Canis lupus familiaris: one gene and its partner. The protein of the gene in region 1 purifies or fractionates together with the protein of each later gene. This does not show direct contact. Links are inferred from orthologs where the notes say so. Each region holds a gene or a part of one and is shown on either strand. Other genes may lie near its edges. The genes, in order: ITGA2 and ITGB1.

Evidence for each region.
Region 2: the proteins of ITGA2 (region 1) and ITGB1 purify together in Homo sapiens (co-immunoprecipitation; 3 studies listed by BioGRID and IntAct, with this or other methods). This does not show direct contact. The link is inferred for Canis lupus familiaris from reciprocal best matches to the Homo sapiens genes ITGA2 and ITGB1.

The regions. Positions count from the first base shown.
Region 1 is NC_049225.1:63,113,507-63,117,332, reverse strand, and holds part of ITGA2 (integrin alpha-2), read left to right. Parts: intron 1-986; coding exon 987-1,138; intron 1,139-2,885; coding exon 2,886-2,996; intron 2,997-3,560; coding exon 3,561-3,643; intron 3,644-3,826. UniProt on the Homo sapiens protein: Integrin alpha-2/beta-1 is a receptor for laminin, collagen, collagen C-propeptides, fibronectin and E-cadherin. It recognizes the proline-hydroxylated sequence G-F-P-G-E-R in collagen.
Region 2 is NC_049223.1:3,973,470-3,977,295, forward strand, and holds part of ITGB1 (integrin beta-1), read left to right. Parts: coding exon 1-29; intron 30-250; coding exon 251-473; intron 474-1,152; exon of another isoform or gene 1,153-1,525; intron 1,526-1,745; exon of another isoform or gene 1,746-1,969; intron 1,970-2,189; coding exon 2,190-2,422; intron 2,423-3,826.

The DNA of each region.
Region 1 (3,826 bases):
GAGTAAGGCCAGATAAAGCAGCTGATGCTTTGAATATCATCAGATCACCTTCCTCAGTTTTGGGCAGCAGACTCTAGTTAAAGGCTCTGATACTTTGTATATTGGCTACTGGCATCAATTTTTATTGCATTTTTTTTTTCATTTTCATTTCCCTGGGTTAGTAGTAGTATTCTGTTTTTTTTTTTTTTTCTCATTTTCATTTCTCTGGGGTAGTAGTTTATCTCTGTTTTATAGATGAGGAAATGGAGGTTCAAAGAGGTTGCACAAATTGCCTAAAGCCATTGAGCTCATAAATGGTGGAATTAGAATTCAAACCAAGTATGTCTGATTCCAAACTTATGACTGCATAGTTGCGTGCCTTCCCTTCATATAAGCATCTAGAGTGTTCTCTCAAAGTATGTCAGTTAATCCTCAAATAGCAGTTAATCCTCACAACTGCATGGAAGCTGAAAGAACATGAGTTCTGATTTCAAAATCACCCCAGTTTTATTTCTGACCATGCTTTGTGAATGGAGCCGGTTTATTTTACCCCTTTTATTCTATTATCTGAAAAATGAGATAATATCCATTTTCCAGGTTGATAGCAAAACTTTTATAAGGTAACATATGAGAATGTGTTCAATTGCGGGCACTCAGTAACTGCTTCTTTATCATATCACCATGTTAGGGATGATGAAACCAATGCTTGAGGAAGTGAGTAATTTGCCCAAATTCACTCAGTAGATTTCCTGGTGGCAAATCTGCTTTGCTCCACACTGCTTCAAACCATGCTTTGAATCCCATCTGTCTGTATCCACAGTCACCTACATCATACCAGAGCCTGAATTACAAATGTCATGGTTGGTCACTGCTCACAATGCAGTGTAAAGACTGTTTTTATATTTTCTCAAAGTCCTTGAATTCACCCAGTAAGATACAATAAGGCAGGGATGGTTTTTCTGTAAAGGTTTATTTGTAATAACATTTCTTTATGATTTTTTTCATAGCCATTATATACAATATCACAATTGATGCAAACTTATATTCATCCAGAGTAACCTCCAGAGGTTTATTTAAAGAAAATAATGAAAGGTGTTTGCAAAAGAATATGCTCATAAGTCAAGCACAGAGTTGCGCTGAGTACACCATCAACATACAGGTGGGGCCACAGTCCTCTTTCCTCTTTTCCTCTGAGTAACTAATGAATGGTCTACGTCTAAAAAGAAAACTCGGGAGTTAGAAAATGCTTGCCCTTCTAGTTAATGCTTTTCTTGTTTAATTTTATGGGGGGAAATAATATTTTTTCTGCTAGTACATGGTCACATTCAATGAAAATGTTACTAGTATGAAATTTTATTTAGGATTACAACTGAAAGTCTAAAAAATGATATTTTTAAAGAAATCTTTAAGATTTCTTTCTTAAATGTTTAACAGGATGGGCTTTTAGTAGACAGTTTTATTTTAGTATTTTCTTATCAGGGAAAATTTTTATTTTCAAGCTGCTAAAAAGGACAATTCCAATTGTGATTTCCACTATTGGATTTAAGTTAACATAGGTGAAGGATGAGGTAAAAATTATTTGCTCCAATCTTATGCCACAGTTACTATAGTTGACATGAGTTTTGAAAATCTCACAAGTAGGAAAAATGCTTCTTGAAGGAAAATTTCCAACAGGAAATGGATTTTATAAATTATAGGACTATTTTCCCCTAGGAACTATGTAATGGTATTTGAAAGTGTGATTTCCTCAGGAAAGCATTTTTAAAAGAGCTGCTTAAGAACTTTCCTAGAACATGGTTCTCAGAGTTTAAGATACATAAAAACTGCCAAGAGAACTTTTATAAAATGCATATTCTGGGTTCCCACCATCAGAAATTTGGATTTGAAGGTCTGAGGTATATGCCGATTTAAGGAGTACTCCGAGATATTCCTGATATTAGATGAATGATACAAAGTTCACATCTCAAAAACTACTAAGTATGATTGGGAAAACAGAGTTAATAGAGGAATTAAAATCAATTGCATTGCTTAATTTCTTGTTCATGTTTAAGGAGACTTACTTATGAAGGCCTGGACCTTTTTGTCGTTAAGATGCACAATTATCCAGATTCTTTAAAGGGCTAGAAGCTGGATCTCCTTCTCTCCAATTTTTGTGCTAAGTCATAGATCAAATGAAACATGCATTCCATTCTGGGGGAATGAAGTCAGCCAAGCTATTGTTCACACATAATCCTTTTCATGCTGATGTGTGCTGTGAAGTTCTTAAGAAGGCATATGTGCCTTGGGTCAGCGAAGAGATCTCATTCGGTTAAGATACACCATATTGGATATCAATACTAAGCCCATCCTGTGTGCCAGCCTTGCAGCCAGCTAAGGAAATCTATCTAATTTTGTAGAGTGAGTTAGGTTTTGACTAAAGAAGGGAGTTCTCTTGTCATTGCCCAGTAGCCAGCCCTGAGCAACCTTCCCCTCTCAGTTACAATATTTCCTCCCAGAAATTTGGTCAGGATACCTAAGAACTCTTAAGTCTTGGCGGTAGGAACTGAAAAGACCTAGCCAACAACCCAAGAGCTGTGTACTGACAGGTCTTTTAAATATTAAAACTGGGCATATCCTCTAAATATTCATAAATTGTGTATGGATAACAAGATTTCTGGTGAGCTCAACTAAGAATTGCTGCTTCAGATCTTTACTGAACCCCAAGTCTCTAAGTGTCTTGCTGGTGGAGAGGCTAAGAACAGAATTAGGACAGAAAAGAAGAAGCAAGAGTCTTGAGAATTCAAAATGAGGATATTCTCCATAATTGAGAGGGGACTGTGTTGTTAATTGTGAACTCATTGTGGTCATTTTCTTGTTTGGGAACTACCGTGCCCTAGTAAACTGCCTCACTGTGTCTGTGTGTTTAGAAGCCCTCTGATGTTGTCAACTCTTTGGATCTGTATGTGAACATCAGCCTGGAACACCCTGGCACCAGCCCTGCCCTCGAAGCCTACTCTGAAAAGGCCAAAGTCTTCAGTGTAAGTGTGGTTTACCCTTCCTGGAATTCAGACTGGCTAGGAAAGCTTCATAGTCACTGCAGTCGTGTTCAAAAGCTACCTAGGACATAACTTTCAAATTGTTAGTTTTCTAAGTGAAATATGTGTAAAGTTCACCAACATGCAAGTTCCGTGAAGGATGGAGATTTTTGTCTTCTTCACTGCTGTATTCCCAGACCCTTGAACAGTGCCTGGTCCACCATAGGTGTCCAATAAATATTTGTTGAGGAAATAAATAACCATAAAGTTAAACACCTTGTTCTTACCACCTTTAAGAAATGTAACAAATAGTTATGTTCTCTGTATCCCTCCCTACTTTTATCACATTCATCTTCATCTTGCTCCTTCAGGCAAATCATCACCTCAAATTTTGCTTTTATTGACGCTTCCCTTCCTATGTTGCTAATCATGCATATATTCCTAAAATATTGTGTAGTTTTGCATGGTTTTGAGCTTTATATAGATGGAATGATACTACATGGATCCTTCCACAATGATTTCTAACTCAAGAGCACATGTGTGGGATTATTTTTCCTTTTTTTGTAGATCCCTTTCTACAAGGACTGTGGGGATGATGGAGTTTGCATCTCAGATCTAGTTCTGAATGTCCAACATCTGTCAGCTACTCAGTAAGTCTGCTTTAGAGCTCAGTGTAAAGTGTGGAAATAAGATACATTGATCACTTTATTCAAATGAATGTTTATGGAGATTTTTTCTATGAAAGAAACATCCATCACTAATAAAGACCCTTAAAATCTGAATTTTAATTTCTACCATCTATAAGGGGGAAAACAAGAAATCTAAAACCATTT
Region 2 (3,826 bases), on another chromosome or scaffold:
CGATAGGTCCAATGGCTTAATTTGTGGAGGTGAGAAAGGGGTCTTAAAATGGTTATGAAAAGTGATCCCATCTTGTACAATAAAAAACATTCAGAGTTTGCTTGGTGAATAAGTAGGATAAGGGCAGCATTGAGGGGTCAGTCCATCCTTCACTACATATCCTTCCCCATTACTACTTGTTGCTTTTAAAGTCAGTGCCATGGTTGTATATTTTTACCATTGTAATGAGAAGTGATATTTTTAATTCCAGGAAATGGTGTTTGCAAGTGTCGTGTGTGCGAGTGCAACCCCAACTACACTGGCAGTGCCTGTGACTGTTCTCTGGACACGACTTCATGCCTGGCCACGAACGGGCAGATCTGCAATGGCAGGGGCGTCTGTGAGTGTGGTGCCTGTAAGTGTACAGACCCCAAGTTTCAAGGGCCAACCTGTGAGATGTGTCAGACCTGCCTTGGTGTCTGTGCTGAACACAAGTAAGTATTACCTAGTTGCTTGAAAGAGTTGATATTAGTTGTCTGTTGACCTATGTACTGTTATCACTAGAACCAGAACAGTACTGATGTTAGGTCACACTGGAAATAAGGTATGTGACCCACGGTAGCCCACTCTGAGCTTAAAGATCCTTTCTCAGTCACTAGCGTTTGTCATACAATACTTGTGTGTCATATGAGAGTAGTTGATGCCATCATTTTGGTCTGAATTGGCTATGTAATTGAATCCCATAGGGTAACCTTTGTGAAATTAGTATTACCAGTTTCATTATGATCTCTTGACTAAACTAAGCAAAATGATGGTTTGCCTTTTGAAGAAGTGTTATTGTACAAATAACACAATGCTTATATCATTTTGGTTTTGTATTATATATTTATAGTGTCTGATAAGGCTAGTTTTATTTATGACTTTTTATTTTTATTCATTTTTTATTTTATTTTTTTACAAGCAATCATCTGATTTATAGAAAGATGCAACAATACTTAAAATGATACAAAATACTGATTTCAAAACATCAAAAAATGAGTATATTTAACCATACTCAGCTCGTAACAGAGCAAATGGGTAAGAAGAATAATTCATACTATAGCATATTGCTAATATGAACTGTCAACAGAAAAAGTTGGTATAAGAATGCAGAAAAACTCTATCTTTTAAGAATTAGAACTGAGGGGCTCCGTAATCATCTAGCATCCGCTCAATGTTGTACCTATGGTTAGAAATGTACATTATGGGAACTCCAGGAATCTTCCGGATCCTTCGTTTAAGGTCCCGGTCAACTGTGGCCACAATTTAACACTTGTGCTGAGTTACTGTCTGTACTAAGCAGTCATCTGCATAGGTTCCTTTGTGTGTGCATGGCAATCATTCGAATCTTAGATCCTTGGCAATCCTTAGAGCCACTCGATACTTTTGCCCCAGTTTTTCAATTTCAGCCATTACACAGTCAGTTATACAAGGGATACACTTGGCATACAGACAGTCCATCACTGACTGTACTAAGTCAAGTTTGGCTTTAATAGAAAAGTTGACAGGGATCCCTGGGTGGCGCAGCGGTTTAGCGCCTGCCTTTGGCCCCAGGGCGCGATCCTGGAGACCTGGGATAGAATCACATGTCGGGCTCCCCGTGCATGGAGCCTGCTTCTCCCTCTGCCTATGTCTCTGCCTCTCTCTCTCTCTCTCTCTCTCTCTCTCTGTGACTATCATAAATAAATAAAAATTTAAAAAAAAAAGAAAAAAAAGAAAAGTTGACAAAGTTGGTATCAACCAGGATGTGGTAAGGTGGGCCCAGCTGTGTGTTATATTGGAAGAATAAGCAGGAAGCATGTTGGGGGACTTCTCTTTCCTTGAGTACACTGGGAACTTTCTTTTCTTTCTTTTTAGGTTTTAATCTATCCTTCTCTTTAAGCCTCTGATCTCGGAGACTAAGCATTCGCTTCATGGTCGCATACTTTCTTGTCTTCTTTTGCTTCCCCATGTTCATGCCGCACTCTGTTTCTTCTATTTATGACTTTTTAATTTCTCTTTTTGGATTTTAATTTGAACTGTACTATGTAACTTCACTTGGAAAACTAGTGTCTTTATATTTAGTTTTCCCATCTAGAAGTGTCATATGCCTCTCCATTTACTCCCATGAAATAATCCTTAAGCAAATATTTATTTTAAATAAGTTTTTAATGCAATTTGTGTTTTCACAGAGAATGTGTTCAGTGCAGAGCCTTCAATAAAGGAGAAAAGAAAGACACTTGCGCACAGGAATGTTCACATTTCAACATTACCAAGGTTGAAAATCGGGACAAATTACCACAACCAGGCCAGGTTGATCCCCTATCCCATTGTAAAGAGAAGGATGTTGACGACTGCTGGTTCTATTTCACATATTCAGTGAATGGGAATAATGAGGCCATTGTTCATGTTGTAGAGACACCAGGTAAAAGTCTGATCATTTCAAAATTCTTTCCATTTTCTTTTCTACTGCTACTTAGGCCTCTTGGCAGTTTCCCTAGCACCCAGTAACACTTCCAGCTGGATTATTTTAAATTCAAGTTAGGGCACTTTTAATCTCAAAAATAGTATTGTTAACGATATAAAAGAAGAAGGAAAAAACAAGTCTTAAGTGTTATGAATGGAGAGTTTGAAGACTAAATGTATGAATCCACATAAAATACTCAGCATACTGCCTGACATTTATTTAACCAGGACAGGAATTCACTAGGACTTGGCTCATTATTGATGATGCTTGAATTTGAGCTTGATTTAGGCTTGAGTGCTACTGGGAAAGATAATTTTAAAGAATATTATAAAGCATGAATTTGTTTAGCTTCTCAGAAGAGGAAACATTTTTTATTTTGATTTTTGTAGGCACTTTTTGTTATATTCTTTGAAATTTCCTACATTTCTGTACAGGTTGTTGTAGGAATGTAAGTGTTAATTTCTTTTGGATATATGGTAGAAATGCATTTGAGGGCATATGGTAAGCATATGTTTAACCCTATAAGAAATAGCCAAACTGTTTTTTTCTTGAAGTCTCTGTATTTTGCATTTACAGATACATGTTTACCAATTTATGCTTCCTTATCTTTTCATCTTTTTAACATTGTTTTTGAAAGACCAGAAGCTTTAATTTTGATGAACTACAATTTACCGTCTTTCTTTTATGGATCTTGCTTTTACTGTTCTATCTAGCACTCCATGCCTAACTCAGGTTCATAACGATTTTTCTTGTATTTTCTTTTTTTTTTTTTTTAATTTAAATTGGACACTTGGCCAGTTCAGTCAGTAAAGCATGAGTCTTTTATTTTTTTAAATATTTTATTTATTTATTCATGTGAGAGAGAGAGAATGAGAGAGAGAGAGAGAGACACAGGCAGAGGGAGAAGCAGGCTCCATGCACGGAGCCCGACGCGGGACCCGATCCTGGGTCTCCAGGATCACACCCTGGGCCAAAGGCGGCACTAAACCGCTGAGCCACTGGGGCTGCCCTCTCCTGTGTTTTCTTTAGAAGTTTAATAGTTTCTGGTTTTTCCATTTAGGCCTGTAACCCATTTTGAGTTAATTTTAGTATATGGAGTGAGATTCAGTTCTTATATATGGATGTGTAGTAGTTCTAGCACTTTGTTGGAAAGACTGATTCTTCTCTACCTTTGAAAAATCAAATGATCTTATGTATGTTGGTCTAATTCTTTATTATGTTCCATTTATCTGTGCATCTGACCTTTAGCCAATATACCACACTGTGTCAATTACTGTTGTTTTATAGCTAGTCTTGAAATCTGGTAATGTGAGATGTCCAATTTTGTTCTTTTCCAAAGTGTTTTTGAAATACTTTCCTAGT